2 linked regions of the Daphnia pulex genome follow. The protein of the gene in region 2 purifies or fractionates together with the protein of the main gene of each other region. This does not show direct contact. Links are inferred from orthologs where the notes say so. Each region holds a gene or a part of one and is shown on either strand. Other genes may lie near its edges.

Region 1 (4,161 bases), on a different chromosome or scaffold from region 2:
GGCAAATGTCGCCAACCAGTCCGACGGACGCCTGGCAGATGGTAGTCTCGGCGTGGTTTCTCAATCCCATGATAAGGTAGGGACGGAAGGCTTCCATGTACTTGATGAATCCTTCGCCAAGGACTTCCGTCAATGTTGCCACTGCCATCAACGCATCTTCCTGAACACCACCAGCACGATTTGGCCCAGCGCTCGAATTGAACATCTGCAGCAAGGCCGCCATGATCGGGTCAGAGATCTTGGGAGCATCTTCTGGGGTGACTTTACGAAGCACGCTCTGTAATGTGGCGCAGAGCAGCGACTGAAGATCGTTGTATTGGACTCTATCCGAATGCGACGACACGTGGGATTCCATGTTAAGAACCTAAAAAAATTTATCCGTTTTACAATGCCAAAACATGCTTTAGAGTAAGTGATAATACCTGTTGCAATCTCTCCAAGATGACCATTGTGGTCTTCTGTACAGTAATATAGCAATCTTTGGGCGAGTTCTTGACCATTTCCATCAAAGCTTCATAGGCAGCAGCACGGAGGTTAGCTTGAGCAGCATCAGGCCGATCAGTCGTTTCCAATAGCTTTTGAACGATGGGCTCAAAATATTCAGACAGGCAGTACGAATCTGGTTCATTTCCATCGGTAGCCTATTCAACTCAAGAACATAAATTTAGGTTTATTTGAACGTAGTTACAAATTTTCAGTGTTACCTGTGAAGCAGTTTCATAGGCAGCTTCAGCCAGGCTCGAGAAAGCCCAGCAAACATTAGAAGCGACACGAGGCTCAGCAGTCAGTCCAGTAACGAGAGCCTGAAGCAGTGGCTGAAGATTGGGGGGAGCCACAGCTGCATCGGGGATGATTTCACAAACTCGTCCAATCGTCCAGGCTGCAGTGTCACGTACATTAACGCTTGTATCATGCATCAATTTGAAAAGGAAAGGCATAGCTTGTTCAACAATAGGTTTTAACTGAACAGCATCAGGTCCTTCAAGGATAGAACCAAAAGCCATTACGGCGGCGTCACGGAAACGCCAGTCTGGATTCTAAAGTTGTTGAAAAACGAAAATGTTATTGTACCAAAAATGTGATTTCAAGAACTGTATCCAACCTCAATGTTCTCCTTGACGAAAGGAAGGACGTGAGGAACGATGACATCTTCACAGCAGTTGGCTAACAACATGAGACACACACCGGCAGCCTTACAGGGATTCCAATCGTCTTCATCATCATACTCTTCTTGTTTAGTCAACGTTTGCATCAACACAGGAACTAGATATTGAAGAGCTCCCTTTGCGTAGAATTTAGACGTATGTTCAGGCGGACGGCCCATTTCAGCAGCTTCGCTGGCCTCGATAGCCAAATCCACCTCTTCGTCACAAACGTTCGACCAGAACTCAATACCTTGCAGTGCGATTTCATCAATCTCCGACCTCATCGCTTCCAGTGTAATCTATTCATAATAATGAGTAAAAACTTTAAAATTTGTATAAATTTTTTTGTCAGTTTGATTAACTCACCGCAAAAAGTGCTGGCCCCATGTAGTGCTCCATGTATTGGTAATATAGGGACATAATTTTGACCAGACATTGAAGTGCTGCAACCCGTACTTTTGTGTCGGGAGATTGCGTTGCTTCACACACAACTTGCATGATGAAGTGCCGTTCACTCTACACAATTAGAAAGCGATCAGTAATAACAAACGTAGGTATTCAAATAGTAAAATACATACTTCTTTGTCGAAGTTAGCTTTAGTGAACTCCAATGAATTCAATAGCGCAGTTGTGGCAGCCAATCTGACGTGATTGCTTGGTTCCTCACGTTTCATGCCATGTACGATAGCAGTGAGAATCTCGTTCGACTGAGTAGCTAGTACTTCAGCATCCTGCATTTTTAAAACATATTTTATAATTTTCTCATCCAAATTATGTAATACTTGAATCACTCACAATATCCTGGCAAATATATCCAATCGTTTCCAGAGTGGCTTCCCGAACCATTTCTGTGCTGTTAGCTGCAGTGACATTGGCAACAAGTACAGATATCAATTCTGGCCACTGACTGACTGGTAGTTCAGCAACTGCCATGTACGCAACACATTGAGCAGCAGAGCTAGGGCGGATGGTCTCTGTACCCAAAGCAGCTAAAATGTTCTTTTTTACATAGGTCCTTAGATCGTGTGGGAATGACAACCATCTCTGCTGGTATTCCAGCTTGACATCGGTATCTTTTGAAGTCAAGCAATTTTTCAACTGCAGACCAGCTGCCATGCGGGCAACAGGGCTATTTGCTCCATGGGCAAGAATGTCAGACAAGGCTCTGATGAACTCAACCTATGTGAGAAGTACAAGTTTAGCAAAGTAGAGACTTAGTTTGAATTTTAAATTTATCTAGCCAAACCACATTTGATACAAGTTTTGCTTAGCAACACAAAAATGGGAGAAAAGTTGGTTGAAACAAAGAAAGTTGCTTACCAGATTGCCTCTTGCTGCCTGTTCAAGATAATTTTGGGCTGCTTCCAATTCATTCTTCTCTGTTAGACAAAACGTGAATGACAGTTACTAAAACCATTCAGTGTTCGGGAAAAATCAATGGCGTTGTAACCATGCCGTTGTAGAAAAAAGTAAATTTAAGTAACTAACCTGACGATACAGTTTTCTCCAAAATTTGAATTAGTTGAATATTTGGTTCGGGCACCATTTTCCCTCCTTTTATTAATAAATATCACAGATCTTTCAGTCGTAAAAAAAACTTCTAGGACTTGTTAATAGCTAGGCGTGAAAGAATCAGACGGTTAAGTTCGTCTCAACCGGCGAAGGGCGAACACATGTGGCGAAAAAAAAACCACCAGTTTTTCTCAAGGAAAAGCGACCTCTATTTGAAAAAGAATTACACGAATTTTTTATATTCAACTAATGACCAAAAATAAAATATATTAAAACGACGTACTGTGAAAAATAAAATTTTTCAATTATTTTAAATCTAATCATGAATCTTTTTGTTAAAGAATGTAGTATTTCAATCGGATCTATGTAGTCCATGCGTAGGGTTAAGTTAACTTCCGCTCTCATAAAATGGCGGCAAAGTGATTACGAAAAAATGTGATTGTTTAACCAAGAGTATCCAAAAATTATGAAAACTCTCCGGGGAAAACTGCATTTGATTAATTGGAATTAAGGAAACGCCATTTTGCCACTACAGTTGAAATTTGATTTTCAACTTTAAAATAATCAACTTGCTATCCTTCGAAGTTAAGAAAAGCGTACTGCCCTACATAGTTTCTTAATTAGAGTCAAATTTCACTAAATTATAATTTTTGTAGGCTGCTATGATATTTATGAGTCCGTCAATCCCACAGGGAATTGGAAGCTTTTTCGGTTAGTAACTGTCAGAATAGATGGCGCCAATTTGAAATTTGAATCAATAGAGCAGATTTCTATATTTTAAAATATTGCTACTGCTTTAACTTTTACGAATAAATTGTTATAGTTCCTAAAATGAAGAATAATTCGTTGTTCCTTGTGAACCATGATTAAAATGCAACCTATTCTCAGCTGACGACGCCCGTTAATGCTGCAACACGTACTGACTTGAATTGTATCCAAGCATTTCGTCATAGATTCGACAGGATAGTCAAACTATTAAAATGTAAAAAAACTTACATCAAAATGAAAAGAAAAATTGTCCTACGTGCGAATAGAAAACATTTATTACAAGAATAATCCAAATTAAGTATCGTTGTTGAAGGACGACAGGTACCGCCACTATCGCGGAACCAGGTAGAAAGGCAAAAACGTAACCATACTGAACGCTCTCTGTTTGTCTGCAGAAAATCAGTAGTCAATAACTTTGATAACACAATCTGTCTGCTGTCTACGTGTTTAAACATGGCAACGAATAAATAAATTTTGTATTTTTACTTCCATAAAAATGAGCCATTTCGTCACTGACGTACTACTCGTGATTCTAGGATTGGTGGCTTCCGTTATTATTGTTTTGAGCATTGTTGGAATTGGTAAGTTGTTTACGCAATATTAATATGCATGGGCGAAGAACATCAACAACAGTTATCTTTATGTCTTTTTTTAAATTCATGATAAAAATTTTGTCCTTGATGCTTATTTTTAATCATATGCTTAAACCTAAAAAACATTCTAATCTATTGTGTTT
Region 2 (3,983 bases):
AAGGAGAAATTAGATAATTGTAGATAAATAATACCAGTTCTCGAAAGATGTTAATATAACCGAAATGGTGTTGGTTCAAACTTTTTTTTTTCCATCGGCGATCTAGTTGGGTTATCTCCTTGTATACATTTTGGCGCTATTCGTCTTCTAGCTCGTTGAGATTTCATCGTAACCTTTTTTTTTTCTTTTAGAGTATTTCAGTTGGGCCGTCCTCCAGCGTGTGCAGCCAATTGAAGATCATCATATTCCTCATGTATTTTGACAGTGGCCGGCATTGATCACGTTCGACGTCGTTGAGAGTGAGGGCGCTTTTGATCCATGTGGCATCCAGCGGAGATGAATTACCGCCAGATCCGGCTTTGGCACTCAACGACTCCTCACCGCTTCCGAAAGGCTGACACTGTGACTGCTCCGACTGCATCGTCAGATCCACCTGGCCACTGGCCGCCTCGGCAACGACGGCAATCTGATCGAGATTAAACTGGCTCTGCGACAGACGCTCCAGCGCCTTGTAAGCTGTCAGGAGCCGGGGAAGTTTTTGTATGTTATACATTATCACTGGGGCACTAGCACTACACAAGCGACACCAAATGGGATTTGTTGGCAACTTATCAACGATAAGTTATTATCTTTGTAAGGACCATTGTGAGTGACTGACACAGGCCGGTGCGATTTTTTATTTGAAAGTCGTTTGGATTTAATTGACTTGTATTGTGTAGTAGGGTGATACACACCCGGACATTTTTTTGCGGTAAACCAATTTTACGAAATTCAATTTTTGCTTGCGATTTCTTTCTTTCTTTTTGGGCTGTTGTTGTTTTCTTTTTGTATTTATTTTTTAAATTGCGTACTAGTTATGGATATTGACATAATTCAAGTACTCCCGTTATTTGAAGATTTTGCCCTTTCTATCTTTTCTCATGTAAAATCCAAATCCGTGCCTTTCAGTCAAATTTATGTTCTTATTTGATTCGAGTGCACTGTTCTTTGTGATTCTTGTTCGGCTCATGTTAGACTATGCGTTCCTCTAGAAGGTTTCTTCATTTATTACCATTCGACGACAAGTGCTGGAGATTACACCAAGGTGACGGTCTTGGGCGGCAACACCCGCACTCATATTGTCACTCATTTACTGCCCGAGACGCACTACGATCTGAAGATGCAGTCCTTCAACATGCAGGTACCCGTTCAGCAGCAAACTTTCGTTTACATTTCTATCCCACCCATGGAATGTCGTGAAGTATAATTTCTCTTCCACTTTGACTTTGCCGTGAGCTGGGTACGTCTGAATTCTTCTTAGGTAAATTATCGGCAATTTTTAGGCTATTCACTCATTGAATGGAATTTTATTTATATTCTCGAAAGATGGGTACGACCTCGAGTAAACGATGTTTAAAAAAAATGTCTGGCAACATTGTTGCCAGACAGTGTTGCCAGAATTTTTTTTCACTGGCTCGAATCGTGTGAAAATCGTGTGAAACCGGAAATTGTAATTTACTTTCAGTTTTAAATTGTAAGAGTAAGACTCCGTTCAGTTGACTTATTAACCCAACAGGTAACTTCAAATGGCTAAGCGTACGGCGACTCGAGAATTAAATCACGACAACTGGAATGACGAAGAAGAGGAGGAGGAGGCGGGAAGCTTCCAACAGGCTTCGGACGAGGCATTAAAGGGCCGTGTGATTAGACAAGCAAAAAGAAGGATTGCAGGCAATGATGGAGAGGTAATTTATTGTGCTAAGTAACAATCTAGTCAATTGGTTAACTAGTATTTAAGTGTGTCAGATGTTTTCCACATATTTCTCAGGTTTTTTTGTAACCAGGTTTGAATGAATGACAGAACTACAACCGTGTTCCCAATTCCAGAATATTTTTTTACAGCGTGTTTTATTTTATTCCCTTACAGGCGAAGAAGGGTTTTTCTGGGTTTGCTGGTTTTGGAGTTCGCACAGGTTCTGAACCCAGTAAAGCATTCTCCAACTTTGCTATCAAAGTACCAACTACTGTAGAAACAGGCAAGACAGAAAATGGAGAAAAGACACCAACTGATAATGGGGCTAATGAAAAAGAGTACCTTGCCAACCTAAAGTCTCTGAATGAGACTGTTACAACATGGATTACAGACCATGTAAAAAAGAACCCATGCTGTGTACTCACTCCCATCTTTCGAGATTATGAAAAGCATTTGAAAGATCTAGAATCCAAACGAGCTTCACCATCTTCAAAAGAAAACATGACTACTGAACCTGGCAAGATTGACAGTGAGAAGCTTGAAGACAAGAAATTCCAATTTGGTTCTGCATCAGCAGAAGCTCCAAAACCCTCTTTCAGTTTCTTCGGCAATGGGTCGACAGTTTCTACACCGGCCAAACCACCCTCAACATTTTCATTCGCTAGCTCAACGCCGACAACAGCACCATCGATTTCAACTTTTTCCTTTGGCGCCCCTGCTAAAAGTGATCAAGAATCAAAGACTCCGTTATCGACATTTTCGTTCAAGGCATCCAGCACTAGTTCAACCACTAGTCCACCTTCTACCGGCGGGTTGTTTGCCTTTTCCGGCACTAAACCTGCTGCTACTACTACTACCGCACCAGCCTTTTCGTTCGGGTTTTCTAGGTAGTAATCCAACAAATCAATTTTTCATTTTAATGTCTTTAATTCGTATTATTATCTTTGTGTTTCTAGTACTAAGCCGGCAACAGAAGTGAAAAAGGAAGAAGCGGAAGGTGGTAAAGACGGCGAGGAAGGAGAAGATGAAGACGTTCCACCTAAAGTGGAAGTTAAAGAAGTCAAAGAGGAAGACGCCTTCTATTCTATAAGGTACAAATTTTACTTTTATTGGCTTATTTTTTGTGTTTTAACGCTAACATTTTTCCCGCTCAGATGTAAACTGTTTTACAAAAAGGATGCCAATTACACGGAAAAAGGTGTTGGCACAATCCATCTAAAGAAAGTCAAGGACGATAAAACGCAACTGGTGATCCGTGCCGATACCTCGCTGGGCAACATTCTTCTAAACATCATTTTAAACCCACAAATAACGACCCAGCGAATCGGCAAGAATAATGTCATGCTGGTTTGCATTCCCAACCCGCCTATTGATCCAAAAACGCCGCCTGTCCCGACACCCATGCTCCTTCGTGTGAAGACGGACACTGAAGCCGATGAACTCTTGGCCAAATTGAACGAAGCAAAAAAATGATCGACTTGGGTCAGTCATGCATAATTTGAGTTCTTTTTGTTTCTTCCATTTTCTTGTGATCCCCCATTTCACTATTTTATTCATTCAATTATTTTTTTACGATCTGTACAATAACAATCCCCGTTTGAGACGACCGTGATTTCACCACAGGCAAATTTCAAATCAAATTCAATACAAGTAAGAACCTAATATGTAGTTTCTTTTCTTTTTATTGTACGGTTGATTCAAAAGAGTGTGGAGTATGCCGTCATCACGAATCACGATGGAATGTCGTATTTATTCCGGACTGACTGGATGGTAACATTCTTGGATGTGAGCCGTGAGCCGACCGAGATTTAATATGTGATCTGGTTTCAGCATTTAGAACTCGAAAGGAGATGACAGACGAGCTCTGCGGAATGGGAAACCATCACGTATTGAGTTATCATAATTTTTTCGTATCAATATTTTCCTGTCCAGTATGTCACTCATCGATCATTTCCAACTTTAGGAGGAAAAAATAGTCAAACCGACTACGCTACGGTTAAGCCCCTTTCACTTGGTATTTTTTTTATTTCTCAAGATTTTTTATGGCTTTACGTCATGGCGTATCAGCGTTCAACTACATGTCTTTATAATCGACTAGTCCCACGAGGGAGAAATAGTATCCAACTGTGTTTGATGTCGTGTTAAGTAAGTCAGTGATGAAGCCATCACGGTAGAATCGGGTTGTAACCGTAGAGGCTAGTAAGCAAACATTGTTATAATTGGTTGATGACTTCTGAATTAATTGCTGATT

Evidence for each region.
Region 1: the proteins of nuclear pore complex protein Nup50-like (region 2) and importin subunit beta-1-like purify together in Homo sapiens (affinity purification with mass spectrometry; 4 studies listed by BioGRID and IntAct, counting the BioPlex papers as one, with this or other methods). This does not show direct contact. The link is inferred for Daphnia pulex from reciprocal best matches to the Homo sapiens genes NUP50 and KPNB1.

Annotation. Positions count from the first base shown.
Region 1 is NC_060020.1:1,462,350-1,466,510, forward strand, and holds the start of importin subunit beta-1-like, read right to left. Parts: upstream 2,882-4,161; 5' UTR 2,692-2,881; coding exon 2,634-2,691; intron 2,525-2,633; coding exon 2,466-2,524; intron 2,325-2,465; coding exon 1,941-2,324; intron 1,877-1,940; coding exon 1,724-1,876; intron 1,662-1,723; coding exon 1,512-1,661; intron 1,445-1,511; coding exon 1,103-1,444; intron 1,038-1,102; coding exon 705-1,037; intron 642-704; coding exon 423-641; intron 365-422; coding exon 1-364.
Region 2 is NC_060026.1:3,791,313-3,795,295, forward strand, and holds nuclear pore complex protein Nup50-like, read left to right. Parts: upstream 1-1,426; 5' UTR 1,427-1,489; intron 1,490-1,555; 5' UTR 1,556-1,565; coding exon 1,566-1,724; intron 1,725-1,906; coding exon 1,907-2,619; intron 2,620-2,681; coding exon of another isoform or gene 2,682-2,688; coding exon 2,689-2,823; intron 2,824-2,886; coding exon 2,887-3,205; 3' UTR 3,206-3,394; downstream 3,395-3,983. UniProt on the Homo sapiens protein: Component of the nuclear pore complex that has a direct role in nuclear protein import. Actively displaces NLSs from importin-alpha, and facilitates disassembly of the importin-alpha:beta-cargo complex and importin recycling.